3 linked regions of the Callithrix jacchus genome follow. The protein of the gene in region 2 interacts with the protein of the main gene of each other region in a pairwise test. Links are inferred from orthologs where the notes say so. Each region holds a gene or a part of one and is shown on either strand. Other genes may lie near its edges.

Region 1 (10,681 bases), on a different chromosome or scaffold from region 2:
ATTTTTTGTAGAGACGGGGTCTCGCCATGTTGCCCAGGTTGTCTTGAATGCCTGGGCTCAAGCGATCTACCCACCTTGGCCTCCCAAAGTGCTGGGATTACAAGCATGAACCACTGCGCCTGGCCACTGAGGGTACATACTGTTTATGTAATTAAGGGAATTGTTATCTTAGTTTTTACTTGAAATAACGTGTAGACAGAGGAGATGCTGATTCCTTCATGTCGGGAATCAGCTCAGGAAAGGCCTTTGTCCAGGCCCAAGTCTGCACTGAGGGGTGAGGGAATGCGGACGCAGGGGACTTCCTGGCCAGTCCCAGACTCTCTCTGGTCCTCAGGCCATGGATCCAGGACATCGAGGGAGCCAACGCCAAGGACCTTTGCAGCAGCTCTCCAGTCATGGGTCGATCTTTTGTACCAATAGGTGAGGTACCCCTCAAAGGGTGGAGAGAGGTGGGGACAAGTCTGCTTGGAACTTCCCCCAGGCACAGATGTTGTAAACGCCTTTCCTCACATCCTTGCCCCAGCCCTGTAGTCAGGGCCCCAGGAAGACTCAGACCCAGGAGTCCCCCGAGTTGCCCATCATGGCACCAGGGGCATAGTCCAGAGGGAGGCAGGGGATACTGGCTCCGCCCTACCTCATGCCTTTTCTGCCTGCAGCTGAGAAGCCCTGTGAGCAAGTCCAGTTCCAGCCCAACACGGTGAACACTTTGCCCTGCCCGCTCCTCTCCAACCTGGCGACCCGACTCTGGCTGTTCAGCGGGGCCCCTGTCAATGCCTCAGCCTCCTGCCATGTGCTGCCCACTGGGGACCTGCTGCTGGTGGGCAGCCAACAGCTTGGGGAGTTCCAGTGCTGGTCGCTGGAGGAGGGCTTCCAGCAGCTGGTAGCCAGCTACTGCCCAGAGGTGGTGGAGGACAGGGCAGCAGACCAAACAGATGGGGATGCCAGTGTGCCTGTCATCATCAACACGTCACGTGTGAGTGCACCAGCTGGTGGCCGGGCCAGCTTGGGTGCAGACAAGTCCTACTGGAAGGAGTTCCTGGTGATGTGCACGCTCTTTGTGCTCGCCGTGCTGTTTGCACTTTTATTCCTTCTCTACCGGCACCGGGACAGCATGAAAGTCTTCCTGAAGCAGGGGGAATGTGCCAGCGTGCACCCCAAGACCTGCCCTGTGGTCCTGCCCCCCGAGACCCGCCCACTCAATGGCCTAGGCCCCCCGAGCGCCCCACTTGATCACCGAGGCTACCAGGCCCTGTCAGACAGCCCCCCAGGGGCCCGAGTCTTCTCCGAGTCAGAGAAGCGGCCGCTTAGCATCAAAGACAGCGTTGTGGAGGTGTCCCCAATGTGCCCCCGGCCCCGGGTCCGCCTCGGCTCGGAGATCCGTGACTCTGTGGTATGAGAGCTGACTTCAAGAGGACGCTGCCCTGGCTTTAGGGGCTGTGAATGCTCGGAGAGGGTCAACTGGACCTCCGCTCCAGCTCCTCGTGGAATACAGCAGCGGTGCCCAGTCCTCGGGAGCCAGCTGGCCTGCTGCTCTCTGATCAAGTAGTGAGGCTCCAACCACCAAGACACCCGAACAGCCGTGGCGCCAGAGGTCCTGGCCAAAGATGGGCACCTGCCTAGGTGGGTGGAACAGTGCTCCTTACGTAAACTGAGCCTTTGTTTAAAAAACAATTCCAAATGTGAAACTAGAGAGGAAAGAGACAATGTGGAATGGCACGCACTGGCTGCTGAAGTTCATGGCTTCCCAGGCCACTGGAGATGCGTCCAGAGTTGTGGAGACAGAGTTGGAAACCTTCACCAACTGGCCTCTTCACCTTCCGCCTTATTCCGCTGCCACAAGCTGCCCTGTCTCACTGCAGACCTCAGGACCAGCTCGGGCTCCATGTGTTCTGCCTTGCCAGCCGGCCGAGAATCCAGGACCGCCTCGGGCTCTGTGAGGATCCAAAACCAGCTCGGGGTCTGTGCATCCTGCCTTGCCAGCCGGCTGGCTAAAAATCCAGAACCAGCTTGGGCTGTGTGCATCCTGCCTTGCCAGCCATCAAGGATCCAGGACCAGCTCAGACCCCGCGTGCCAGTGGAGGATGTCATTGTTGCTGCCATCATCCCACCACCTCAGGGACCAGAGGGCTGGGTTGGCACTGCGGCCCTCACCAGGTCCTGGGCTTGAACTCAGTTCCTGGACCTTTCCGGCCTGTATCAGGCTGTGGCCACATGAGGGAGAGGACAGCGTGAGCTCAGGAGAGACTCAGTGACAGTGTGTGCCTTTCCCTCAGAATTCAAGAAGAGACTATTGCCTGCCTCCTGCATCGTAGCCTGAGAATCGTGTGCCCTTCCTACCACATGCACCCTAGCTCCATTGTGGAACTCAAACACAAGGAACTAACCGTACCCTGTCCTCTCCCCAGGCCTCAATTCACCCCTCATCCCTCACTTGCCTCTACTCTAAGGGATATCAAACACTGCCCAGCGCAGGGGTCCTGAATTTATGTGGATTTTATATGTATTTTTAATACAATGCACTTTATGTCATTTTTTTTAATAAAGTCTGCAGAATTATTGTTTAATCCTGGCTCTTCCTCTTAAAGGACACTTGCTTTTTGAGGCTGGTCTCGTTCTGAGTTCTGAGGGGTTCTGAGCCACCTCTGCAGGCTCAGGTGAGCCAAAGTCAGCCTAGCCTGGCCAGTGACATCTCCCTGTGGAGCAGCTCTGAGTGGGGAGCTTCACCCACTGATAGGCAGAGGCAGGAGGTTGACTTCGGTGACCTCAACCCCTTTATTCTACATCCCCGATTTGGTTTAGCAGGGGTAGCGACACAGGAGGGATGTGACGGGGGCCCTTTGTTATAATTTTTAATTTTTCAAATCATGCAGTAAAATGGACTTTATTGATGGGGTTCTTGACATTTTGGCATGCAGAGAGTCATCGAACCACCACCCCAGTCAGGATACAGGAGACCACCCCCCTCATGCTGCCCCTTCGTCCTCAACCGTCCCACAGGACAGCTGGCATGGTGCGGCTTGACTTCCCACTGGCCCCTGCTCTGTACGCTGCTCATTCCTGCTGGAATTCCTGATGAGGTACGGCTGCTAGAAGAGAAGTCCAGGCCAGGCGCGGTGGCTCACGCCTGTAATCCCAGCACTTTGGGAGGCTGCGGCGGGTGAGTCACAAGGTCAAGAGATCGAGACCATCTTGGCCAATATAGTGAGGTGTGCCTGTAGTCCCAGCTACTTGGGAGGCTGAGGCAGGAGAATTGCTTGAGCCCGGGAGGCAGAGATTGCAGGGAGCCGAGATCACGCTACTGCACTCCAGCCTGGACAACGAGCAAGACTCCGTCTCAAAAAAAAAAAAAAAAAAAAAAAACGAAAAAAAGAAGTCCAGTCTTTCCTCATACCAGTGTAACTCGGCTCACACACAGGGTCAAGCTTCTAAACCTTTATTACTGATTAGTACAAACAAACAGGGCAATGGCAGAGGAGCGGCCCTGACGAGGAGGCCGCCCTTGACCGGGTGAGGCTGCACAGTGCCAGCTCCAGGCTGGGCCCGCCTGGCCCACCCTGGCAACACAAGCTTGACCTTGCCCACAGCTCAGCAGCAGAAAGGTTCTTGGACAGGGTATCAGGACACACACCAGGGCTGCTGTCACAGGACAATCTTAAAGGAGCTGAACAAGAGAAAAGTGGGGTGAGTTTTCTGCTGGAAGAGGAGGGGAGGGACTAAACCCAAACTCGCCCCTTCTCCCTTTAGCCCCTTCTTTGAAACGAGCTGTGTCTGTGTGAGTCAGTCCCCTCTGGAAGAATTCCCCCAGACTTCCAGAGGAAGCTTCTGGACCCACACACAGGGTCAGAGCTTCTAAACTTGTATTACTAAGTGGTACAAACACAGGGCAATGACAATAGCAGTGAGAAGGGGAGAGGCCTTGACAAGAAGAGCCGCCCCTGCCCGGGGTGAGACTGCCAGCTTAGCCGGCCATGGGTGTGGGGACCAGGGCTTTCTCTCACCCCTGGCACCACCTCCTGTAGCAATGTCCTAGGCTGGGACCTGCAGGTGCCCAGAAGGCAGGGGGACCACTGTTGTACCTGGCAAAGTCTGGGGAACGGGAGATGACGTGCTGGAACTCAGAGAGGTTGATGGTTCCATCCCTGTCAATGTCAGACTCCTCCAGGATCTGGGGAAGGGAGAGTTTCAGGCCAGAGCCACAACCCTTCCCTCCCGCTCCCAGGCCCAGCTGCTCACATTGTCAACGAGCTGCTTCATCTCGGACGCACTGAGCCGTGTGTCCTCGCTCTCTCCTGTGAGGCAGTTTACCAGCTGGCTCAGGTCTTCTCTGTTCAAGGTTCCATCATCATCAAAGTCTAGAGAGCAGACACAGGAAGCCAAAAGACATGGTCAGGAGGGGCTCTGAGGTTCCACAAACGGTGCCCATTTCCCAAGCATGGCCACCACAAAGCCCACGTGGGAAAGGGTGGTGTCCCACCGGGCTTTGGTTCTCACCGAAGATTCGGAAGGCATAATGGGACTTGATATCTGGCGTGGCTGTGTCACTGAACACACTGAGGAGGTCCAGGAAGTCCTCGAAGCTAAGGCTGTCTCTGGTTGGGGACGTGGAGAAGACTCTGCAGATTCGCTCCTTGAAGGGGTTGGCCTAGGAGAACAAATACCATAGGACGTGGCCCAGGTCACACACTCATCAAACACTATTAGAAACTTGGGAGAGCAGGTCATAGGATCAGCAGCAGGGAGCTCAGGCTCTCAAGGGTGAATGATCAGTGCTTTGGGGCCAACATGCAGGGCCATGGGGGCACAGGAGGGCAAACTGAGCCAGTTGGGGAAGGGACTGAGACAGCTTCCTGGGAGTCAAGTGTTTAACCCAAAGGCAGGTCATGTACAACCTAAGTGTGAGCAAAGAGGGAAGAAGAAGGCATCTTAAGCAAAGGGAACGAGATGGGCTGGTTATTTTAAAACACGAATGGTTAACTGAACACCTATTGTGTTATAGGCCCTGGCTCAGACCCTTTGCACAAAATTTTCACAACAGCCCTGTGAATTTGCAATCACCCTCTAGAACAGGGTTCCTCAAACCTTAATATGGTAACTCAACTCCTCTTAAAGGACAAAACTTCTTTGAACTTCCAAGAATATGTCCTAGAATCCCCATTTGAAAAGCACCATTCTAGAGAATTCTGCCAGGTGATATTAGTAAAGTCCTTGCCCCCAGAAAATTAGAACTAAGCAGAGAAATGACCAGAATGGGGACCAGTGACCTCATGATCTCAAAGCTAGCGGCAGATGGAGTTAGGGGGGTCTAGCAGGGAGGGAGTGGTGAGGGAGGGGTCAAAGGAGGGGAGCACTGGCACCTTGAGCTCTGGAAGGCTGAGGATCTGCTCGAAGGACACTTGTGCCCGAAGTGACGCCTCCACGCTCTGCTGCTCCTGGGGAAGCAGCTCACAAAACCGCTTGTGGGCTCTGGCAGAGAGAGGGGAACGGTTGGCCCTCTCAGCGATAGGTGTCCCTGTGTGTTCATTCCCACTCCTTGCCTGCTGCTCATCAACCAAGTGAGGAGCTGAAACCACGTACATAGAACTTCCCAGTCATCAGGCAACAGTAAGCAAAAGGACATGTCAGGAGGCTGTACAGCCTAGGAGTCTAGTCTTACGGTGAGTATTTACTGAGCATCTACTATGTGCTGGGCACTGATTCTAGAGATCCCCGAGGGATAAAGAGGTTGGGGATGGAGCCAGAAGTTGGCCCTAAAGAACTGGCCAGGTGCTATGGCTCACGCCTGTAACCCCAGCACTTTGGAAGGCCAAGGTGGGCAAAGCATTTGAGGTCAGGAGTTTGAGACCAGCCTGAGCAAAATGGTAAAACCCTATCTCGACTAAAATACAAAAATTTGCCGGGCATGGTGGCTGGTGCCTGTAATCCCAGCTATTCAGGAGGCTGAGGCAGGAGAATCACTTGAACCCAGGAGGCAGAGGCTGCAGTCAGCAGAGATCGTGCCACAGCACTCCAGCCTGGGCAGAGACTCTGTCTTGATAAATAAATAAATACATACATACATACATACATACAGGGAGAAAAAAACAAAACCAAAAATCTCATTATCACCTCCACTCCAGGGATCTCTTGCCTTCAAAACCTCCTTTTTAGCAGCCACCCTGAACTGTCCTCCTCCTCAGCCTCCATCTCCTTCCCATGAGATCATCTTTGCGCAGGAAGCCCAGGCATCTCCTCACTCAAGTGCCCGCCCTGCATATATCTGGCAAAAGGGCTTCCAGGTCAAGTTCAAATCTACTTGCTCAGAGTGTTGTCTTAGGCAGTTAGCAAACCTCTCTGAACCTGTTTCATTGTCCAGTACCTCTCTCCTAAAGATTAAATTAGGTCATGCAGGCAACCATTTAGCACAGTCCCTGGCACAAGGTGAGTGCTCAGAAAGCGTTAACGGTTCCTGTATTGTTCAGGTCAAGTTGGGAGAAGGAGCCAGACTCCCCAAGGCTTCCGTGGCTTAGCCACTGCGCAAAGCCGGCCCCTGCCGGACTAGAGCAGGAAGTTCGGCAGTGATGAAGCTAGTCAGCTCAGGGTCAAAGAGCACCTAACTTTTCTCGGAGGCTGCCACGCAGAGCCCCCGGCGAGGGCGGGGAGGGCGCAGCCCGGGCAGGGTCTCCCGGCCTCCAGCCCCAGCCCCTCAGCCGACCTCAGGCCGGCCCCCGCCCCTCCCTTGGGACAGCGCCCCCCGCGAGTCCGCCTCTAGAGGAGCCCGGGATCAGAGGCGGGGTTCAAGGCAGCACTTACAGGAGGATCTCTTGCTTCGTCAGGAACGTCAAGTCCTGGAATGCAAAGCCAGAGCGGGGGTTATCGGGCCGCCGGGAGGCCGTGACCGCCCCGCCGCCGCTCCCGGACCCCGCCCGGGAACAGACCGGCACGCGACTCCCTAGGGCCCGGCGTCCCGCGCACCTGATACTCGGCCAGCAGATCCTTGGACAGGCGACTGCCCGAGCCCCCCATAGCCGCGCCGCGCGCAACGCTCCGCCAACTCGCCTCGAGACGCCGACAACTTTCTCACTTCCGCCTTTGGGCCGCGTCTCAGCCCGGTCCCCGCGGCAACCGCTCCAGGGGCCACCGCCCCCGCCTAAACGCGCCCAGGCGCTCCTAGCCGGGTTGGCAGGCGAGCTCCCCGCTCCGGGCGGTCCCAGGCGAGCTGGGGGCGGGGTAAGGGGCGGGGCCTGATGCCCCGGGGCAGAGCCCAGGCCTCACGGCCCCGCCTCCGGGGTGGGCGGGACGAGCCACACCGCGCGCATGCGTGCTGGCTGCGCATGCGTCACGGGCGTCGCTTCCTGGCAGCGGTCCCTGCAGCCGCTGCCGGGAAGGTCGCGCGGTGTATCCTCCTCGGCTGCTGTAGGTGGTGGCGGCGGCAGCCCTGTGTGGAGTCCCATAGGGGCATCTGAGAAGTCACTAGAGCTGACGTTTACAGGAAACCTGGAGACTCGCTGAGTGGCCGGGGTCTTCGGCTGCCCCTCTGCCCAGCAAGGATTTTCTAGACGTTATCAGGCAATCGAGGCACCTGTCGCAGCCCCCAAGCCGCCTCTTCCAGAAGTAACCCGAACCTTGCTTCCTTCTGAGGCTATTTACTGAGGACCTACTGGATGTCAAGCAGTGTGCATAGTTTTCTTCGACTGCAAGGTAGGTATCCATTTTACAAAGGTGGAAATACGTAAGTCCAGAGGGATTTAGTGATGTGTCCGGGCTCCGGCGTTTAGAAAGTGATTGATCCAGTCCAAGGCACTTGTCTTCTTTTTTTTGGAGACACAGTCTCCCTCTGTCGCCAGGCTCCAGGCTGGAGGGCAATGGCGGGATCTTGGCTGCCTCCTGGGTTCAAGCAGTTCTCCTGCCTCAGCCTCCCAAGTAGCTGGGACTACAGGCGCGCGCCACCATGCCCAGCTAATTTTTGTATTTTAGTGGAGACGGGGTTTCACCCTGTTGGCCAGGGTGGTCTCCATCTCTTGACCTCGTGATCCGCCTGCCTCGGCCTCCCAAAGTGCTGGGATTACAGGCGTGAGCCACCGCGCCCGGCTCCAAGGCACTTTTCAAGGCTCTCCACTGCTGTTTGCATCATTCCAGCTGACATGCCATCCTTTGACCCCATCCCACCCCTAGACTGTATGCCCTAGGCTATAGAGATCAAAGCTGACCCTTTTGCTCTGGTCCCCTCTTAACCTCTAGGACAATGCTTGGCACATAGTACGTTCTCGGTAAATATTATCAAATGCATAATGAATGAATGAACGTATTCTACTGCAAAAGGTAAGGACGCCAAACTGCTGGGAGGTGGAAGTGGAGGTTGTGTTGGTCAGGCTGGGATTAACTCTTGATCCTTTCAATCCATTATAGTTGCTCATCTTTGTAAAGTCTAAATCTGAGTGTGTCATTCTCAGCTTATAACCATTAAATGGTTAACCCAAATCCTGGCCCTCTGTAACCGAACTTCCTCCTATTTGCTCTCTGTGTTTCAGCCGTTATGGGCTCTGAGTCCCTCTTCCATCTTATTCTCGGGGAAGCTTTTCCTGACTCTCTAGACTGGCTAGGAATCTACTTTGCACTTGAAGAATATCCAGTGCTTCTCCTTGGCAGCATGTGTCTAGTAAGACCCATTGTGTTAACACATGCATTCCATCATTGTAGAAATATTCAAGGCCGGGCGTGGTGGCTCATGCCTGTAATCTCAGCACTTTGGGAGGCCAAGGCGAGTGGATCACTTGAGTCCAGGAGTTTGAGACCACCATGACCAACGTGGCAAGACCCTGTCTCTACTAAAAATGTAAAAATTACCCAGGTGTGGTGGCACACAACTGTAATTACAGCTACCCAGCAGGCTGAGGCACCAGGATCCCTTGAATCTAGGAGGCAGAGGTTGCAGTGAGCTGAGATTGTGCCACTGAACTTCAGCCTGGGCAACAGAGTGACTCTGTCTCAAAAAAAAAAAAAAAAGATAACTAGATTGTAGGGCCATCCCAACATGATCATTTTTCTGTTAATAGCAGGTATTTCAGTCCAAGAAAGAGTTGGTCTTGTCATTAAAAGCTTAGGCAAAAAGCAGGAAGCTGTCATTATGTCTCCTGTACTGCACTTCCTTAAGAATAGGGACCTTGTTGGTCTCTTACAAGCCAAGGTGAATACCTGCACTACATGGTAGTACCTCTGTATAGTGAAGACAAGAGAATCAGCTTAGTGCCTGGTGACTAGCTGTGATCTAGATATCTCAACCACCTCACTGGGCTCTTAATCCTTCAGGGAACAACCTTCTGGTTTTCATTTTGCTTCCTGATAGGTTTTGTACACTGACCAGCCAGCAAGAACCTTTTGTGCCATTTGGCACATTTCTTATCGTAAATTGTTAAATAGGCAGTCTGAATCATCTGGCGGTCCTTGGTGAATCTGGTTAGCATATTGTCCCTCTCGTACCTGATCAACTCTTGATACAGTGGTAAAACCGAGCTGTTGGGGCCGGGCGCGGTGGCTCACGCCTATAATCCCAGCACTTTGGGAGGCTGAGGCGGTTGGATCACGAGGTCAAGAGAGCGAAACCATCCTGGTCAACAAGGTGAAACCCTGTCTCTACTAAAAATACAAAAATTAGCTGGGCATGGTGGCGCGTGCCTGTAGTCCCAGCTACTCGGGAGGCTGAGGCAGGAGAATTGCCTGAACCCAGGAGGCGTAGGTTGCGGTGAGCCGAGATCGCGCCATTGCACTCCAGCCTGGGTAACAAGAACGAAACTCCGTCTCAAAAAAAAAAACTCCGAGCTGCTGATATATTTTTATTTTTTATTTTGTTTATTCATTTTACTTTATTTTTTTAGATAGAGTCTTACTCTGTCACCTGGTCTGGAGTGTAGTGATGTGATCTTGGCTCATGGTAACATCCACCTCCCGGGTTCAAGCTATTCTTCAGACTCAGCCTCCCTAGTAGCTGAGATTACAGGCATGCACCACCGGGTCTGGCTAATTTTTGTATTTTTAGTAGAAACGGTGTTTCATCATATTGGCCAGGCTGATCTCAAACTCCTAACCTCAGGTGATCCATCTGCCTTAGCCTCCCAAAGTGCTGGGATTACAGGCGTAAGCCACCACGCCTGACCTGTTTTTTTTAAACAGAGTCTCGGAATTCTGTCACCCAGGCTGGAATGCAATGGTGCATTCTCAGCTCACTGCAACTTCTGTCTCCTGGGTTCAAGCAATTCTCCTTTCTCAGCCCTTCCCCCCCCCCCCCAGCAGGGATTACAGGTGGCCGCTACCACACCTGGCTAATTTTTTTATATTTTTAGTAGAGATGTGGTTTCACCATATTGGCCAGGCTTGTCTCAAATGTACCATCTTCACCTCCCAAAGTGCTGGGATTACAGGTGTGAGCCATCGCACCCAGCCCTCACTGTGATTTTGATTTGTATTTCCTTATTGATTCATGATGTTAAACATCCCAAATGTGCTTGTTGGCCATCTTTATATCTTGTTTGAAAACATGTCTAAGATTCTTTTTTTTTTTCCTCCTTCTTTTGGTTTTGTTTTATTTTTATTATCTCATTTTAAATTTTTTTACCTGTCAGGTAAGACTTTCTTTTGGTAGAATAAGATACTACATTTTGGTACTGAGGTTGGGATAATTTTTTTTAAAAAGATATTACATTAGCCA
Region 2 (10,039 bases):
TGTGGTCATATTTATTTAAGTATTACATATTCTCATTCCTTTAATTGTTAACAAATGAAAACAACCAACCAAAAAACAAAACAAAATCCACAAAAAGAAAAAATAGCAATGCTGGCCCTTGATGGTCTTTTCTCTGACCTAAATTTCACTCTCTTGTAAAAAGGCCATTTTCCCCTACCCAAGGGAGAATACCAACATATTTTTCTGACATACCTCTAAGGCTCCAGACTTTTCACAATGATCAAGAAAAATGACTTGCTTAAAAGCTTATTTATATAGTGTTGACAGTAAGATTGTCACAGTATGGACATGGAGTAGAATATATTCAACTGGCCCGTGAAATTTTATGTCAGAATAAGCCTATGCCTCCTTCACTTTTCCATGATGCTGCATAGTACCCACTCTTATTTCCAGTAGCTATTTACAAATCATTCTGAGGAAAAATAACCATTTAGGGTTTTAGATCATAATAGGAAATCACACCCAATTTTAATATAAAAATCTTAGAAACCACTTCAAGTAGAACAATTTTAAATCAATTTCCTTCTAACTAATAGTGATTATAGAATAATTTTTGAGAGGTCATTTGCTAACCTGGTTCACAATTAAAAATAAAGTATCTGGTGAATGAATTGTGAATTGTACAAACTGAACATAAAAAGAGACTTGTTTCAAATTTGAAACCCCATGTGGCTTCAATAATACATTAAGTTCTTCTAAGACAGTATCAACATTTATTTTTCATTACCATTTTAAAATAATACGTCCCATGGAGCGATTGTGTACAATTCTGTCATGAATATGTGCCCTTTGTACTTTTTGTTTAGTCAATCTGAGTTTAGTGCCTTTCTTGGGTTTGAACTAAATGTTGTAACCTTTGTTAGCATTGTTCTTAGGACAATGGTTTTAATAAAGGTTAAGGATGTATTCAGGAGAAGTTTCCAGACCATCCTGGAATCACCTGAGTTTGGTAAGTGGCCCTGTTTTTCCATCCCTAAGGCTAACTAAGTAGATGTTACTCATTAGAACACATAAATAATCACAGATTTTCCTGAGATGTTGAGCCAGATATGAAAGTTGTCCCCTCCACCCAATTTTTTTGTCATAAAAAGTATTCTGAACCCGATTTCCAAAGACATCACGGTAATATATGAACCACAATATTGCAAATTTTGAGCTGATGTGACTGTACTGGGGAAAATAGAGGCATCAGATAGTTTTTGCTTTTGTTTTACAGTCTCTCATGTTCTGAGGAAAGTCATCAGCCAAGGTTCTCAAAGATCAAGGTGCAGAAGAAACACCTAGGGAGCGTGTTAAGATGCAGATGGAAGATTCCAGGTCCACTTTGCAGAGATTCTTGTTCTGTAGATCTGAGATGCTGCCTATGAATCTGCATTTTAAAACAAATGCTCCAGATGGTTCTAATGCAAGTGGTCTGAGTTCAGCTTTAAGGAATCCTGGTCATAAGACTTGCAGGTACCACTGGAATGGTGAGAATTAACTTTTACAAGAGATGGTGAAAACTGTCCAAAGAAAAGCCATTTTGCTTCTGTTAAAAACAATTTCTTAAATATTGAACTATTCAGGAAACCACCTAGAGATAAATGTTAACTTTTCTAATTCTGTAAAACGAGGAGTTTTAGTAAAGTAGTTAAAATACAAAAAATGGAAATCTGCCTTTTTTAAAGGTTCTATCAAACTTCCCTCAATTGTAATCAATTTTTACTAAGTAGTACAAGGTTTAAAGAAATATATATTGAAAAGGACCAGGGTGGGACAGACACATTGGGAACCAAAAAAACCTCTTCCAAGAGTTAAAAATAAACACTTTTTTTTTTTTTTAGCAAAAGTGAAAAATGTAACCATATATTTTTCTAATTTGGTTTTGAATTGGATAATAAGCTGTGAATCAGCAGTAGGCTTTTTTTTTATTGGATAATTATCCTTTAAAGACTTGTTTAACAGTTTGGACTTTAAAAAATGTGTTATGTAGGCTGACTTCTGAAATGCAAACTAAAGTACCCTAAATAAAGGCAGCAAAATGCATTAATCCACTATGAATGGAATTTTACATTTTAATTTATGCCTATTATTTATGTTTATAAAAGAATTTCATTCATAGGCTACTCACAGTTGTTACCTGATGCATACAGAAGTGTTAAACAACCAATTGCTAGTTCAGTAGTTTCCTCATGACATCTAATGTTAAGCAAAAGTTAGTATGCATATTTAAACATCACCAGTAACCAATACTTTTCAAAATGAAAAAGTTTCAATTATACCATGCTTTTCTCAAATCATGCTCTTATTTATACAGATCTCAAGTTCATACTCATTAGTTTAAAAAGATCCAAAACTGGATGGCAGGTACATTTTATTCTGATTCTTTTTTTATTGTTAGCATGTTTCCCAGAAGTCCATAAACTTCTCCATTCGTGCTGTGTGGGCGAGAAGCATTATTTCCTATATGGCTATTGTAAGGGCTTCTTAAATTAAAGAAAGAAGCTTTCGTTTCTGCAGTAGGAAGTAACTCTTCTTTGATTGTGACCTGTGAGACACTTTCAGCAGATGAAGGCTCCCTCCAAATGTCTTTGTCTTGTGTTTCTCGACTGGTAACAGAATTGCCTCCTTTCTGGAGCATATAATATAGTATTGGGTTGGTTTTGGTCAGTCTTGGAGAATCTTTTTCATACTCATTCTTCTCCACATCAGTGATAACCCACTTAATGGGTCCTTTCTCACTGGGCATGGAACACCCATTCAAAAGCCCAGATTCTGGTCTAGACCCTGCACAGCCCAAGTGCTCAGGGAAAGTAGGACTCACAGGAGTTCTTACTACTCCTGGGTATGAAAATGTCCTGCTATCCATGCAACTGTTGGGCTGACTGGAACTGTACATCAGTCCATTTAACGAAGAAATGCTAAATTCAGGTTTGCTGTTGGTCACATTATTTTTGTGTCCTTTCTTTTTACTGTCGGTGACAGAGTTACTTCTGTGCGGGGACAGATCTCGCACACAGTTTTCCGAGAGAAGCAGCTGTTTCAGAACATTGAAGCTTTTGCTCTCTCTGGCCCAACTCCTTTGTTCACTTTCGCTGGCTGAGCTGTGACCAGCAGGATATTTAAATTCAAGATCATTTCTGCTCAATTTCAGCTCTTCCTGGTACCCATACAGTACTTCCGGGGCACTGTGATTGTTTGCAGCATCAACAATGTTGTTCTTCATCTTTTTAAATGGATTTTCTAATGGCTCAGTATAAAGCTTCCTTTTCTTAGGGACCATGCAAAGATTCTTTGATTCTAGAAGTGACATTTCATTATTTCTGTGACTCTTGTCTGAATCATCTGCCAGGTAACTATCTTGATTCTGTCTTAGCAATCGACTTAACAGACCATTCTTTGAGAAAGAAAAATCCTGAGGTGAAACAGGCTCCGATTTAAAGTCCTCGGACACTGGTAAGGCAGGTGTGCTTCTTTGCAAAGCAGGAGCCATACCCAAGAATGGCACACTCTTAGTATCATGGCTCAAGTGCACATTTGTATGAGGAATTTGTAAGTCATCACAAGGCTCAGACTTTATTTTCACCATCAATATTTGTTCACTTAAAGCTCTCTCTGAGTGTTCCTGAGTACTTTCATCTCTTAAGGGAGTTTTCTCTTTCTTTTCACTCTTACCTTTGTTGGGGTTTCCCAGGAGCAACTGGAGGACAGTACGTCTTTCAAGCAGATTTTCTATTTCAGAACCAGAAAGTCCTGGTTCTGTAACTGTTGGTTGACTACTAAATCCTTTATTTTCTTCAACCACATTTGTTTTACTTGAGAGCAAAGGGCTATTTAATCTATCAATCATACCTATCGGTTTATCTGTGTTTACAGTTAACAGCTGTTTGCTAGATCTCTGCTCTTCCACTGACACAGAAGACTGCATTCCACATTGTGCTAAATTCTGTAACAGCTTACTGGCACTAAAAGTTGCAGAGTTTTGTGCACCTTCACTGTGGGCTGGTTTCTCTCCTGGCGGTTCTTTGCTTTTTGTAAGGTCCATTGAGTGGTTAGATGTAGTATTTGTTAGCTTTTCAGATGGAGTATTGCAGGCATATGGTGGGGAATTCCATTTAATAACCAGAGAGTGTTGAGAGAGATTGATGGGAGACTCCGCTTTGGTTGATGTAAGTAATGGTGGAGTGCTCACTGGAGTAGTCCGATTTGTACTGGGGCTTTCTATCACAGAAGTCCTTGAATAATTCTGTGTATTGAACTTGGTTACCTCATTGTGTACTCCCTGAGGGCTGGCGTTTTTTTCTACATTTTCTTCATTCTTATGGCCAAGTAGCAATTGAAGAAGTGTTACTTTCTGGTGTGAGTTTAGCTTAGAATTCTTTGAGGTATCTTGATCTTCTTTAATATCTACATCTGGGACTTTTGGATCCCAAGTGTTCAGCAAGGATTGAGTAAAGTTATCCAAAGAAACAGGTTGGTCAGATTCTGATTTTTCAACTCGGTGTTTGCAAGACAAGTCTATGGGAACGCAGTTGGAGTAAGAACTTTCATCACCACTGCTGTCATCTGTAAAACTAGGATTGTTATCTGAATATTCATCAATAGTTGTAGGAGTACTACTTTCCTCAAAAATGCTTCCTCTCTCACTGTGACTATGTCCATTCACTGGCTTAGGTATAGTCTGGCTTTTAAGAAGATGTAAAAGCAAACTATTGTTAGGAGCTTGTTTTACATTGTTTCTTTCTAGTGAGTTCTTATAACCTGCATTTTTAGGGGAAGAAGGAATGATACCCATTGGATTTTGAAATGTTGCAGCATTACTTTTGCTAGCCATCAGTTTGCTTGATGATGTTCTTGCCTGACCATTAAGATGGCTTGACATTCCTTTTGAGAGCTGGAAATTGCCAACATCCTTCTGGCCATTTTCTTGCAATCTGGCCATAGCAGCAAGTCTTTCACTTGCAGCTTGATTTGCATTTTGTGTTTTTAAAGCATGTTCTCGAGAATACTGCTGCAAATGGGCTTCACTTGAAAGAAGTAATGCCAGTTGGCTACAAGCAACACTAGGTTTAGGTGAGGTGGCAGGACTAGCCCTTTTTTCCACCATGCTTGCAACAGCCTGTAATCTTGCAGCACATGACAATGGTTCACTCATGACCTTTGTTCCACTTTGTCCAACATGATGAGGAGACTCGGCAAACCTATCTCTGATTAGGTTTTTAGTCACGTCAGGAAGATTCGTGTCAGTCTTTTGATCTTTAACTTTACTTTTCTTCAACAAAGTTTTTAAGTGACTTGATGCAACACCATAGCACCTTAAATCCTTCTCCACTTTTAAAGAATCATGACTGAGGGCATATCCTTGCTCCTTGAGGCTCTGCCTAATTTGTTGTGACAGAGCAACAGTCTGCAGCCTAGAGCTGAATGACTGAAGCAAAGAGGCCAGTAATGTGCTATCCTGTTTGCCTTTAGGCACATTGTCAACCATGCCAGCCAGCAAAGCTTCCTTCTTTACGTTTAAATTTACGATAGAATCAGACAGCCTCTTCCGCTTTGCTGCATTCCAGTCCTCGGAAGACTGCAACAGTCTGGCTTTTTTGAGATGCAGCATGCCAGATCCCTGATATGTGTGTGTATTGAGAACTGGACAATTACTTTGACAGGTGGGAAATGCACTGCCAGAAATGTTAAAGTTCTGATCCTCTTCATTATGCCCAGCAGACTTTTTGTCAATGGCAGTACCTGATCCCCCTGCTGCCTGATGCATTAGTAATCCTTCTAGGTAAGTTAAAACAATAGAATCCTGGTGCACATCAGAGCCAAGCTCTTCTCCATGAGTCATGTTCAATAGAAGTGTTCACAAGGGCTTGGTTTCTATTCACTTTGAAGAATGGTTTTCTGCGGTGAGATGTAACTTTAATAACTGAGTATCAGTTTATCACCTTCCATAGCACTGAGAGAGAGACATACTCTTACATTCTGATGAGGATTTCTTTTGGCAATGACAAGATAAATGCAGTCTGACCACAGAGCTGATGAACTTCTAAGCAAAAAGGAGGATAATTCCTTAAAACATAGGTCTGTAGCAGTAAGCAGATATAATCCTTAGTGAATATATTCTTTTTCCTTCTTCATCTTTTATTCCCCATTAAATGCAAATATCAGTGTTCTAAAAAAAATAAAAATAAGAATAGTTAAGGAGGTGCAGAACTAGAATCATGTCATGATACCTACAAGCAAAATAATATGGCATTTGTAAGTTTATATATACATATCATTAGTCACCTTAGTAATTTGTTTTATTGCCATTCTATTCAAATGAAAATCTCTACTAGAAATCCTGTGGGTTAATCTATACTGTTAAAATGATCAAATCATTTAGAGAAGAGAGCATTCTTTAATGTTATATAAACGTCTTCCAAAGCCTGCCAAGTCTCTGAATTTTCATAAGCACCTTTCTGCAAATTAATGTGAATGTTAAGTCTCCTTTACAGGTTTATAGCTCTATAGGGGAGCTAAAAGTTGCTTCCTACATTACTGGTCACTTAGGAAGAAACAAAAGTAGATGTGCAGAAAAAGAAAAAGAGATGCAGACTCCGATGAGTCTGATGTGGGGTTGAGGCCAACAGAACAGATTCACTTCAGACATCATCCCCCAAACACCAGATATCCCATAAGTGATTTTTAGAATTTCTGTTTTTCAAAAAAAATCAAAGTACTAACAAGTTGAAGATTATTTTGTGAGCCTGTTCAAAGTGTGACAATCTTAATGATATTCCTAAACATTAAAATACAGTCATAAACTTACCTACCCATAGTTTTTACCATGACTTATTAAAGATGGAGTAGAATAATTCTTTAGATGCCCTTTAGATGCTTGTTCAGGGCTATCAAGGATTTCATATAGTTTGTTATTTAATCCTTACTCATGTGTTCTATGGAAAAGTCTTAATGTCACGTCCATTCCTTACAGATACAGAAGACAGGGAGGGCATAAAATGGAAAATGCCAAAGACATTTTAGTCACAGTTTGAAAAATATTCCAATGATATTATCTAAGAAGATACTGAACAATCCCCTATCACTAACACATATACAACAGAAGAAGCAAGAACTCATTACATTTCTGAAAACTTGATAGAGAAGTGTCAAAATTGACCTAAGGAAGGGGGCCATTACACCTTTGGAAGAAAAGCTGGAATAAATTCCATGAAGATTGTTTTTCAAGAAGCCAGAACATTTTGTTCTGGTTATTAGATCTCTTCAGTTCTACCAACAAATACCTTGGTCCCTATGGAATTGAAAAGATAAATTCTAATTTAGAGACTACCCTGTAGCTTTTTGGGTAAAATGCTAACCTCTAAGTCAAACTTTAGGAAAGAATTATCTGATTGCATCAAATTGTTAAATTGATTGAAATGATAAAAACAATACCCAAAGAAAAAGCTATAGAAAGGAGGCAGCAACAATTAAATAAATTTCAATTGTATAAAGAGGTGAGAAAAGAGTTTCTTAAGATCCCAATGCCACTATTTTAAAAAGATTTGCCATAATGTACTTAAAATGGACATTTTAAGAGGCTTATAATGATATGGAAATTAAATGATGATAACTCTCACCCAATATCCATTCTCCCATTTTCCTTTACTAATAAAACCCTGATATGTTTTTCAGAAAGTAGGGAGGTATCTCAGCTAAACACTACTTATTTTTCCCCCATAGGTATATATCTTACAATTGATGGCATGTTGCTTAATCAGAGGCTTATTTTTCTTAGTAGTATAAAACATGAGTACATTTTACAACTGATAACATCTTGGAGTTGAGGAAACAGTTTTCTAATTCTCTTAAAAAACTGCTAATATGGCCAGGCAGGGTGGCTCACACCTGTAATCCCAGCACTTTGGGAGGCCGAGGATGGTGAATCACCTGAGGTCAGGAATTAAAGACCAGCCTGACCAATATGGTGAAACCCCATCTCTACTAAAAATACAAAAATTAGCCAGGCATGGTGGTGCGTGCCTGCAGTCCCAGCTACTCAGGAGGCTGAGGCAGGAGAACTGCTTGAACCCGGCAGGCAGAAGTTGTAGTGAGCTTATATCGCGCTGCTCCACCCCAGCCTGGTTAACAGATCAACATTCCATTCCCACCCCCCCAAAAAAACTGTTAATATACAATTAATTCTCAACTAATGAAGACATTTAATAACCATTTAATGGGATATGCAAATCCACTGTATTTCTCTCCACACCACTGTCAACCTTTTTGTTCTTGAGTGAACTCAAGAAAGGAAAAATCATATCAGTCATTTGAAAACTGGTTTGTAAAATATATGTCATTGTAAATAGCCTTAAAATATACTTCATTGAAGCATAAGAATGAAATAAGGAGCATCTTTAAGTTCATATTAACTCCTGTTATTTCTATTCTGCTTTTTACTGTGCATAATATAAGTTGCAAAGTATTATTCATTGCTTTAAAAAGATGAAATTTACACATTTCTGAACTTACAAAGCAGATTTGGAAGTTAATTTAAAAAGGAATTACCACAGTTTCTTTGTAGAGGGGCTCTAATACTATATTTTACCATTTATTTACCTATCTACCATTTATTTCCTATCTTAGCAGAGAAAGTAGATGACAGATATTGAGAATAATCGTTTTTGTTTTAAATTTGATTACTTTTTTTTGTACTTTAGGTTCTCGGGTACATGTGCAGACCATGCAGGATTGTTGCGTAGTACATACATGGAAAGGTAGTGTGCTGCTTCCATCCTCCTGTCACCTCTATTTGGCATTTCTTCCCATGTTATCCCTCTCCAGCCTTTCCAAGAATAATCATCTTTTAATAATCATTTCTTTTTTTGGCAATCAGCTTTCTCAGGTTGAAAATAATAATTTCTTAAATATGAAAACAATTAACTTCAATAACAAAAAATAACATACAAATAATTTTATTAAGCTCCTTGGGTCTGAGGACCGTGCTAATGATAATTAGTACAGTGCAACACAGTCAATATATACCTGAATCTTGGGATACATTCAAGTTATTAAACGACCAAATTCCCAGTAGAAAGGAAGGGATTTTGATATTCAAATGCACACATTCTCTCACACTCCAAAACTATAGGGAGTTGAGAAACTAAAATAATTCACATCACAAATTTGAAATCACACACTGTAAGTTCATCACTTATATGAAATGACAAGGCAAAGATCATTCTAAATATTCAATTGTTTATTTCATTTAAATCAATACAACAAATTCTTACCGAACTCCCAATCTGCTTTGAGACCTGTCTTAGGACTGGTGAATTATGTTCATTTTAAAAGGGGGATGTGATAGGCAACATCTAGAGAAGCAGGCAAGGTGAACATCTACCTCTAAGTTTCTAGAATACCTCTAATAATAGAATTCTCTTCTCATGCTATTTCTTTTCACATTTTCACATGACTATTACATCACCAAGTACAAAAAACTAAAAAATTAAGTGTGACTTGAAAAATATTCTAAAGATTGTTTCAAGATTTTCCAGTGAGAATTATAAAACAAACATTTTTAGTTTAGAAAAGGTGGTACCATAGTATGCATAAGAATCACTGTGTGGGGGAGGACTGAAGATGGCATGGTGAGAACAACCCAGGATTGAAGCTCTCAGTGAATGTGCGGAGGGTGAGTCAGAGCCACATTTCCAGACGGATCTTTGTTGCCCACAGAACGGGGAAATTCCCAGGTATAAAAGAGATGCGGGACGCAAGGCAGAGGTTTTGGCCGGCACTGTAGCGCAGCGGTGCTACACAGCGCTCCGCACAAAGAGCACTGGTCTGGGTGCCCTGTTAAACCGGCAATCTGAGACTTGAGACTGAGCGGGACTTGGACAGTGAGCCAGCCCAGGAGATTCCAGGGAAGCAGCGTTTGGGGCAGCGCAGTGGGACAAACAAAATGGCGATTCCAACGCTCCGGGCGCGAGCACAGCTGAACCCAGGACGGTGCAGCTCTGTGGCGGAGGGGCGTCCGCCATTACCGAGGCAATCCGCC
Region 3 (10,621 bases), on a different chromosome or scaffold from region 2:
AAATCACCACAGAACTCATCACTAAAAACTGTTTGGTGGCTGGGCGAGGTAGCTCACGCCTGTAATCCCAGCACTTTGGGAGGTTGAGGCGGGCAGATCATGAAGTCAAGAGATCAAGACCATCCTGGCCAACATAGTGAAACCCCATCTCTACTAAAATACAAAAATTAGCTGGGCATGGTGGTGCATGCCTGTAGTCCCAGCTACTTGGGAGGCCGAGGCAGGGGAATTGCATGAAGCCAGGAGGCGGAGGCATGCACCATCATGCACAGCTAATATTTTAATTTTTGTAGAGATCAAGTCTCACCGTGTTACCCAGACTGGTCTCGAACTCCTGGCCTCTTTCAATATACTCTTTCAAAACAAAATATTGAGACTTTTGCAGTGAGCCGAGATTGCCCTACTCCAGCCTAGCACTTTGGTGAAAGAGCAAGTCTAAAAAAAAAAAAAAAAAAACTGTTTTGCATGTAATTCTTAAGAACATGCATATCAAGAAACCCTGTTTCCTTCCAAAATGAGGAAAAGCTAATTATCCTAGTAACCAATTGGTGCTTATTTAGATAGGAAATAGTTTTGAGGGCTTGAATAGGGTAAGAGGACAAAGCCTCAAAGGCAGGCATGGGAGAGAGTTCATCTGTCTTTTCTCTTGATAGCAAGTTTCTGCTCCTCCCCAATACCCACAACAGCCACAGACAATGCTCTGCAGAAACTGAACCAAATTCAAATATTCATTTGGGACAGGGTTAGAGAGAATTCTGAGTGAAGAGATGCAAGATAACATGGCCAATCCAAAGTTAGGCTGAATGCACTACACCTCCTTCCAACCCTGGGTTTGACAGAACACAAAACAATTTACCAACAAAATGCTGCAGTCTGGCTTTGAGGAAACATATACAAGTCCAGCAGTGTTTTTCCAGGTCACCCTAACTCTCCTGCCCTCTGTCAAGTACACCCACACAAAGATTCTCCACTAAAAGTCCTTCATTTTCAAGACCTGTCTTAATTCCAGCTAGAAAGGCCAACTAGTTCCTCATAAACTTGCCACTCTGCATATCCTAGTTACTACCACTGTAACTGGGTATGCAAGGTAAGTTACATATTTAAAACACAGACTGTTTTCCTTTTTTTTTTTTTGAGACAGAGTCTCATCCTGTTGTCCAGGCTGGAGTGCAACGGCACAATCTAGGCTCACTGCAACCTTCACCTCCCAGGTTCAAGCAATTTTCCTGCTCAGCCTCCCAAGTAGCTGAGGTTACAGTGCACCATCATACCCAGCTAATTTTTTGTATCTTTAGTAGAGATGGGGTTTTACCATGTTGGCCAGGCTGGTCTCGAATTCCTGACCTTGTGATCCACCTGCCTCAGCCTACCAAAGTGCTGGGATTATAGATATGAGCCACCATACCCAGCTGAGACTGTTTTTCACAGAATGAAAGAAAAAGGAAAAAGACATCTACTTTATATGTGTATATATAGACACACACATATATATATTAGAAATAACTACCAATAACAGGCTCCTAACTGTATAGTGAATTAAATACTGTATTAAACAAGAAAAACTATTAGTTTACAAAAGATTTTGCATCTGCACCCTGCAGGAAAATCTAGACTTCAAGGCATGAGCACAGAAATTTAAAAATCCTGACATCTACAAGTAAGTTGGGTACATACCTAAGCTCCTATGAAGATAAATATTTTACCCTGAGCAATCGTAATCACTCTGCATTTTAAATGTCTTCAAGTTGTTGTTTTCAATCCCTCTTTTGCTTCTCACTATTTGATAATATGCAATTTCAGGTGTAGCTTTCTTAATCTGAGGTATAATGAAAGTAGTTTTTTCAAATACAGAAATAAGTTTTAAATTTCAAAGATTGGAACAGAATGGTGCTATTAATATGATATAAATAACAACTTTTAATAGCCTATTTCAATTCAGGATAACCAATGATAATATACCATAACCAAAGGCTTAAACCGCAATAGAATCTAAATCTGCTAAGAACTAAATCTGTTAGACCAATATGAATTTAACACTTAGCTCAAGTCTCTAGTTTCCCATTTGCAAATAGCATTGTCTTTGCCTTAATTTATCCCAAGGTACTAGAATTCAAACAAAAATACCACAGACTCAGCCTATAAAAACAGAAGAACAGGTTTTTCTTTCAAGAAAAGTGAAGAAAGGAAAATATGCATAAGTAAAAACATACTAAAGAGCAAAACTTGTGGTATAACATTTTGGAAAAAAAAAAGAGCAAAATTACATAATCAGCAAACAGATCAGTGATTTTCAGGGGCAGTGGGGTAGGTGGAGAGGGTTGACTACAAAGAGGTACATGGGGGACTTTTGGGGCGATGGAGCTGTTTCGTGTCTTGTCTGTGGTGCTGGTTATATAACTGCATCTGTCAGAATTCACAGAGGTACACTTACAGAGGCTAAATTTTACTGTATGCAAGTTACACTGCAGTAGCCTAATTATTTAAAAGTACTATTACATGTAAAACAAAATGCTGGACACCTGAATTATGAAATCTAATGTTCAAGCATACAATTCTCAAGGGTTCTAGATGTATTATCAAAAATTTACTAGTAAACACTTCAAGTTCAGCCTTCAGTATTTTATATTTTATTCATATTCATGTTCTACAAAATGATTCAAAACATCACCTAAAATTATCACAAGATGTATTTTGAATCATTACATGTTGAATCATTTATAGAAAATGTCAATGTCTTATTTTTAAGAGTGACCATATCAATATCTATTAAATGTTAATTAAATGGTTATAAGTTGAATTTACTACTAAATTCACCTTTTCTGAATTATAAATACATTTTGAGAAGTGTAAATGGTGATTAGATTTATTCACATCCCTCAGAACACTATGAAATGTGTCCTAAACATGTTAATTGATTTCAGAGACTTCTGTCTTGAGCAAAACTTAAGTGCTACAAGCATCTGATAGCTTTTGAAATGAGAATGTTCAAGAAATTCATCTAAAAAAAAAGACTTGAACGTAAAATGCAATCCTAAGGTGTATGCTCTAATGCCTATTGATGAACAGATCCTTACAGTTTCCTTCTTCTAGAACTTATGCCAAAATATATTGATTTTCTTCAGAAAAAAATAGTTGAAAATGTGAAGCATGTTTTCATAGTCATAGTACATTTGCTTTTCACAACACTCTCAGAAAAACCTTTCCTTTCACATGTTCACTTTTTAAACATCTTTCCCCTCACACAGAGGAAACTAGACACTGAGTTATGAAACTTACAGCAAAAGGAAAACTTTCTAATGGAATGCCCATGTAAATACTAGAAATATAACAAAATAAGGCAAACTCTTTCCTCCCAAGTGTTGCCTACCACACCAAAACACAATTCTGCTTTTTAAACAGCAAGTAAAATTAAATCGACCTTATCTTCCTCAATAGAAGTCCATTCGAAGTTTTATTTTTCACAAAAATGACATTTACTTGACTTAATATTACCCTTCCAATAAGAATAACACGGAGGGGGTTAGAGGGCAGTAGTTGGACCCCTCTTCAGCAAATAAAGGATACCAGATAGCGCTTAGCCCAGGAAAGGAGGAACTCAGCTTGCTGACATGGCTGAGGAATGCCAATACATTAAAAAACCCCTATCATCTGTTTGAGACATGTACATCTTCCCAGGTCCTCAAACTTCAATCAGAAAGTGTGTTCAACAGTCATTTCATCTACACTGGGGAAATCCACCGAGGAAAACCAGAGAAAAAGCAATTTTTTTCCCAGACATTCATATTAGCAAAATCAATCCAGAGCTCACAAGCACAAACTAAATAAGTTAACTTGCCGGTATCTTGAATAGAGACATTTGATCAAAGCATGATCAAAAGTATTTTCCATCTTTCCGGCAGCTTGCAATACAGTTGGTTTTGGTGATTTTTTTTTTTTTGGTCTTTTATTGTTCTCAACATGACTGGTTTCTCATCGCAGGATTTCAAACAAAATGAGAAATCACACCTTGAGCGAAAGGGCGCTTACCTTGCGGATAAACACACCGGCCTTGCAGTCTCTAAAATGCGGACACGTGCTTTTCCCGCAGTAGGGGCCTCCCGGCACGCGCCCCGCGGCCACCTGTTGAAAGCGAGCGCTCCTCGTGCAGCCCCGGCTCCGAGCGCCAGCCCTGGGGCCCGTCGCAGCTCGGGTGGTCCCTTCCCAGCCCAGCGCTCGCCGCCTGCTCTCTGCCCTGCAAGTTTCAAGAGGCAGTTATTTCCCGCAGCTGCCTCCGGGCGGGGGAGTGAGTATCCGAAAAGCCAGCGGCTGGAGAAACTGAAAAGATCACCAGCGACTTAACGATAAGCCCCTTTTTTCTTTTAAAGACCGAGAGGACGGTAGAGGGGAGTAGTGCCTAAGCCCACGTGACCACAGAGGAGCCCGGCGGTCTCAGGAGCACCCGGCGCCGCGCGTGACCCCGAAGTGGGAGCACCCTTGAGCCGCCTCCTGGTCCACCCACAAGGACAGTGGCGCACAGATGGCGCTCCCCGCAGCCCCAGTCTCATATTAAGGGTTTTGGAGTAGCCCGAGAACATGCATTTCCAACCAGGTCCTGGGAGATGCTGACATTGATACAGCCAGTCTGGGGACCATACTTCGATGATCACGTCCCCAGCTCCTGACTCCCCTGACTTACATGGGTGCCATTCAGTACAGAAGTCCGATTCTAAGGATCCAGTGGTGAAACCAGAGAGGCTTTGGGTTTGTCAGATCCCCAGCAGCAAACGTAACCTCGGGTCCTAGAGTGGCAAAGCCGTGAACTAGAGGTGGAAGGCTTGGGTTCTCAGCTCTTCAAGAGCTCTCTGGAAAGGCCTTTGGCGTTATATCAAAGATCCCAGGTACTTCCTCGAACTCACTTGGTGGAAGTGGCACCGCGAAGACCTGTGCTTCCGGCTGCGGTGCCCTTCTCCCCTGGAGGCGCCTGCCCACTCCCTCCTCAGATGAGGGACCCTCGCGCCCCCTGGTGGCAGCCCCAGTTCCCCGAGCTTAATGGGGTGTTCCCCTCACACACCCCAGGACCCCCAGGTTGTGAGACTAGGACCACAGGCTCAACTGGCTTTAGGGCAGCTGACGATGATGAAAAGGAAAAGGAAAGTATCATGTGACCCACGGGCCATTGTGAGACTCGTGTCACATCTGTGCCTAATTAATCATCAAACCATCTACTCAGGTGGCATAAGGGACGTGGTTTTTGAGGGTTGTGATCCAGATCTTTAATAGAGGAAAACCAAGGGGGCATTTGGAGGGAACATTTTACAGGGCCAGCCTCAGTTGTTCGGTGTTTAGCCAAAATAGAGAGAGGGTTCTGGGTTGATAAGGATGAGGTCCACAGGTAGTGAAGACAGGCTCCAAAGATGGAGAAGCACCTGCTTCTTCAGCTAAACAGTGGCTGTGAAAAGTCTCCACTGCCCCACTCCAAGTCCAATTTTCATTAAAGCTGTGAGTTCTGGTTTCTCTCCGGTTGAAAGGCAGTCTTTCCTTGAGGCAGAGAAGTTAGTTTGGACAGGAAGAGTGTGTCACTGGCAAGCAACTGCAGCAGACAACATGCCAATCTCAGCCTCTCTGTCCCGTCTTGGGGTCTCTCAAGGTACCCAGTCCCCATATACTCCCTTCTCCTTGCCACCTTATGGAGAAAATGTTAAATGATGGGTTAAAAAATCAACTTCGTTTGGTGGTGTATACTTGTTAACAAGATATCTCTGGAAATGGAAACCATCGTGAAGGAATTTCAACCATGAGCCAACAGGCAAAGATGGGTGAGGGTGAAGAAAACACATCTATCAGTATCAACATCATACCTAACTATGTGCTAAGCACCTGCACAGCATCTCATTTAATCCTCATACCAGCTCAGTGAGATAATATTGACTCCACTTTTCAAATGAGGAAATTGAGGCTCACAGAGCTTCTATCAGCTACCTGAAGCCACATAGTGAGAAAGGAACCCAGTAACAACAGTGGCTTCATAGAGAGCTACCACTTATTGGACATTTTATGCCCCACTCTCAAAAATTCTTATTTTATATGCAAGCCTGTGAGGCAAATTCTATAATCCCCATTTTATACTTGAGAAAATGAATGATCAGGAAGGTTAAACAACCTACCTATGGTCACATGACCTATCAGTGGCTAAGAAGGACTTGAATCCAGGAGAGAGACCAAGGGCCCATTTACCTCATGCCTGCAATCAGAAGTGAAGGTGGCTTGACTCTGCTCTATGCAGAACACTGCAGACAAACTCCTGCCACCTGTGAGGCAAGCTTCTACTCTGTGTTCACTGTGATGCTTCCTTTAGAAGGCATTCTACACACAGGAACAGCATGTTCTCTTTCTAGAGCAACTCAGACACCCACAGAAGCTGTTTATTATACAAGGAAAGCTCACTGCAGGAAATAATAAGCAGAAAATGAATGGGAGTGAGTAAATTTTCTTCTGACTCACCCTTCTATCAAGAAAGACAATGGTACCCAGGGATGGAACCTTTGCCTGGTTTAATGCAGAGTGAAGAGGATGATTATTCCAATTCTACCTGAATTGTGACCACAGCAAAGAAGGGATTATTCTCAAGGTAGTTCATATTAATGGGTAGACCAAAAAGCACCCTGAAGCCTGGTATTGAAGACAATGCCTCTACTCAGCAGGGTCCCAGCCTCATTTCCACCTCACCCCTGACCTGCCTAAGGAGGCACCCACATACTACATTGAAATGACTGCCTGCTTACAAAATATCCTACAATGGGGACTGAAATCTTCACCATTAAGTCATAGTTTGGGGATAAGGCATTGAATTCTTAAAATTCAGTCATGTTATATATAATGGGTAATACTAATTTACTAGCATTTATGATTAGTAAGATGAGCTAAATGTTACCTGGGAAAGCAAAGGAAGTCAATATGGGACAGGTATGTTTTGCAGTGAAGAGGAAGGAAAGCCCCTCCATGAAGGTTCATATTCCTCATCTTCCCATCCCGCCCCTTCTCTGTCTAGTGAAGTCTTATACATTCCAAAGCCAAGAGCCTGAATAAAGTGAAGAGCACATTGGCCCAGTGGAACGTGCACACTGCCTCCCCAAAGCCCTCATCTTACCTGTCAACACAACCTGCGCTGCGATTGGACAGTGCATGTCTTATATCTCCAGCATTTTCCGTGGTCCATAACGCCCACCTAGCATAATCCAGGCATTCAACAAATATTTGCTGAAGGCTTCGACTTGGAAAGATCAGGGGGAAAGAGTGGGGCAAAATTTTCTGTAGGAAAGAAACTACCAAGAGGCAAAATAAAACTCTGTCAAAAGCAGGAATGCAAAAGCTAAGATGAAAAGTGGAGGGGAAGAAGGAATCCTACAGATGTCTAGAAGGGTGTCATGCCTAAAGGTGCCTTTGGATTATTGCTTTATTCTCTGAGCTTGAGGCCAAGCAGGAGGATATGGGTTCTGGAATACTCTTATCTGTTCCAGAGTATCATAGGAACGGGTTTATTCATATTATGTGGGCATAAATTGGTCTGTTTTAAGAGAATCTAAGAGATAAAACCCTACCCTTATGGACTTAATAAAGGAAAGGAGATTCACTGAACCTGCAATAATACTTTTGGTGGTGATGAATAAGAAAGATGAGATTACTAATTCATAATGCAGAGGTCACCTCAACTGAACATGAACCAAAGTTCGCAAAATGTGATTTGACATTTGAAACTTGAATTTGGATGGAGCTCTTAAGGATCACATTTTTTGTAGAAATAAAAACAAACCTAATATTTATCGAGCATCTTTCTAGCCTGGACACCACAATAGTCAGGCTTGCATAGGTTGATTCACTTTTATTTCATTTAATCCTCAAAAATTCCCCAGGACTGTCTATTTTACAGATGGGAAAACTGAGGCTTAGAGAGCAAACATTTCTTTTATAAGGTCACCCACATGCATGCGGCAGAGTGAAAGTTCCAACCCAACTTTACCTACATACCTGCACATCCCGTGTTTTCCCCACTGTCACTGAGACACTTTTCTTATTTGTTGCATAAATGGAGGCATGTCTGTTCTGTAGAACCCAGATATTGTTGAATGCAATTTCTTTTCTAGGAATGACCATCTATGAGCATATTTATGTAACTTATTCTTTATTGATCTGTGTTGGACTGAAGTCCTCAGAGGGTAACAAAGGACATAAGCAGAAAGATAGACCTAACCTGATACCTGAGCACCAGAACCATGAGACAAGGTTACTGACCTGCAGTTTAAATGAACCACCTGAGCAACCAGCACCTGCAGCCAACTCTTTCTAAATCAACCTCATTTGTCTCAGTCTTGATATTTGATAATTATAAACAAACAGGTAAAAAATAACTTTTTATCCTGTCCACTGCCCCTTGAAGGTACTTAAATTCCACATAAATCTTTTGCATATATTGAGTTTCTAATTTTCTATGCATTTGCAATCAAACATGAAGAATACACATTTTTGGCTTTACTTCCAACTCTGAACAATTCTCTCCAGCTAGAAGAGAAACTAGCTCCTAGTTAATATGAACACCCAGTTGAGAAAAAAAAGTTATAGGACTGTTAGAAATTGTGGCAAATTGCAATATGCAATTTCACAAATTACTCAAATGCAATTCTGAAAATGCAGCTTCCTTACCTTTTCTGGCTCAGAATAAGATTAACAAGAGGCCAGCCAGTGTAATATTCCCTGAAATGAGATCAAAAAAGAAATAAGGTGTAGACAGACATGGCTTGAGACCATAGATAAGACTGGTTCCACTGAGTTTAATTTCAAAAAATATTTCAAAATTGTTGACTAAAGTTTTTTCTACATCTTCCTGTAAATGTATCTAACATTTTCAATTTCTTTATTCATATCATGGAAGTTACTAGAAATGCCTCATATTATACTTTAAACCAACAGCAACTAACTCCCCAGTGATGCACAATGCACAAACAGCTTTTATAAAAATACAGACCTGATTTTTTGTGCACAGAAAATGCTTTCTTCACATATGTCACTGCTTGATCTGATGAACCTAACCAGAGAAAGGAATTTTCTTCTTCTCCTTATTCAGTCCTCTCCTTTGCTGGGAATTATAACCAGAAAATTAACTTCTCTAAGCAGCTCACGCAGCTACTTAAGGATCACCGATGCTGTTCTGTGGGCCAGGATCTCTGCATTCTCTTCCTCACATTGTTTCTCTTCCTTTTACATACCCACATAGGATTTTCCCACTGTCCAGGCAGTTTAGCTAACTTCTTAGTGGTTCTGCTCAGATTCAAGTCAAGAACTTCCTCAGCCTGCTCCACATGCTACTGAGCCAGCAGCCACAACTTCCTAGAACTGCTACCCCAGCATGACATTGGCTTCTAGTTAAAAAGCATGTGCATGGGCACTTCATGCTGCATTTTCACACCAACCCTACGACGTTGATTTTATCACCAATTTGCTGACAAGGAAACCTGAGTGAGTTTTCCAAATTTGCACTCATAGGAACACAGGTCATCTGACTTATATATAGATGCACACCTGCCTCCTTGCAGGAGATTCAGTTTCTGTGTTCCTAGCACTGAGGCTGTCGATGTCCGCCATATTGCACTGCTAGTGTCTCACAGGTGTTCAACCTGACCCCATCTCTTCCTTTCCTACCTCTACCCTCCCTGCTCTCTGTCTAAAATACCACTCAGGGGAGAAAATTCTTAAGAGCTTCTTTATTTTCGCTTTAAAATTTTTCTGACAGATGAGGTGTGGTGGCTCATGCCTGCAATCCCAGCACTTTGGGAAACCAAGATGGGAGGATTGCTTGAACCCAGGAGTTCAAGACCACCCTGGGCAACATGGTGAAAACCCATCTCTACAAAAAATACAAAAATTAACTAGGTGTGGTGGCACCTGTAGTCCCAGCTACTCGGAAGGCCAAGCTGGAGGATCACTTGAGCTCAGGAGGTTGAGGCTGCAGTGAGATAAGATTACACCACTGCACTTCAGCCTGGGGTGACAGAGACCTCGTCTCAAAAAAAAATTTTTTTCTGACACTGAGCATTACATTTATGCCTTCATAAAACTCTTCTTTGAGACTGCCTCTTGCCCTCATGCATTTATCTCTGTGACAATACGCCCTTAATGCTGAGAAACAGTAATAGCTTAAGTGTCTACCTGAGACACAAGGAAATAGGAGGGTGTTTGCTCTCAGATGATATGAGTAGAAGGCTACAACTACCATTCGTTCAGCTGAATCCTTTGCCTGCACTATTTCATTTTATCCTCAGAACAATCCAATGAGGTAGTTACTACTTATGTTTCCAATTTACAAATGAGAAGAGTAAGACTCAGAGTTTAAGTAACTTGCCCAATAGCTAGTAAGTAGCAGAGGGTTCAAACCAGATCTGTTTCACACCGAAACCCATTCTCTCTGAACTGCTGGTCTCCCTAATGCACAAAATGACCTACAATTCCAGTTACAAATGATAAGTGACAAATAAATGGGGGCAGTCAGGAATTTTGTGGACTTTCACATAGTGAGAAGTCACATTCCTGCTTGGGTTCCTCTGAGAGATTTACAGTAACTCTCAGAGCTCCTTACCAGGGCTAACTGGAG

Evidence for each region.
Region 1: the proteins of NRIP1 (region 2) and CIB1 interact in a two-hybrid assay, tested with the Homo sapiens proteins (2 studies listed by BioGRID and IntAct). The link is inferred for Callithrix jacchus from reciprocal best matches to the Homo sapiens genes NRIP1 and CIB1.
Region 3: the proteins of NRIP1 (region 2) and ESR2 interact in a two-hybrid assay, tested with the Homo sapiens proteins (2 studies listed by BioGRID, with this or other methods). The link is inferred for Callithrix jacchus from reciprocal best matches to the Homo sapiens genes NRIP1 and ESR2.

The regions. Positions count from the first base shown.
Region 1 is NC_133507.1:19,350,247-19,360,927, forward strand, and holds CIB1 (calcium and integrin-binding protein 1), read right to left. Parts: upstream 7,129-10,681; 5' UTR 7,003-7,128; coding exon 6,952-7,002; intron 6,825-6,951; coding exon 6,790-6,824; intron 5,464-6,789; coding exon 5,355-5,463; intron 4,643-5,354; coding exon 4,492-4,642; intron 4,353-4,491; coding exon 4,234-4,352; intron 4,166-4,233; coding exon 4,077-4,165; intron 3,662-4,076; coding exon 3,640-3,661; 3' UTR 3,418-3,639; downstream 1-3,417. Other genes in the region: SEMA4B (semaphorin-4B), read left to right, coding at 335-420, 657-1,396. UniProt on the Homo sapiens protein: Calcium-binding protein that plays a role in the regulation of numerous cellular processes, such as cell differentiation, cell division, cell proliferation, cell migration, thrombosis, angiogenesis, cardiac hypertrophy and apoptosis.
Region 2 is NC_133522.1:21,968,293-21,978,331, forward strand, and holds part of NRIP1 (nuclear receptor-interacting protein 1), read right to left. Parts: intron 6,170-10,039; 5' UTR 5,843-6,169; coding exon 2,375-5,842; 3' UTR 1-2,374. UniProt on the Homo sapiens protein: Modulates transcriptional activation by steroid receptors such as NR3C1, NR3C2 and ESR1. Also modulates transcriptional repression by nuclear hormone receptors.
Region 3 is NC_133509.1:98,953,937-98,964,557, forward strand, and holds the start of ESR2 (estrogen receptor beta), read right to left. Parts: upstream 4,922-10,621; 5' UTR 4,676-4,921; intron 4,232-4,675; 5' UTR 4,027-4,231; intron 1-4,026.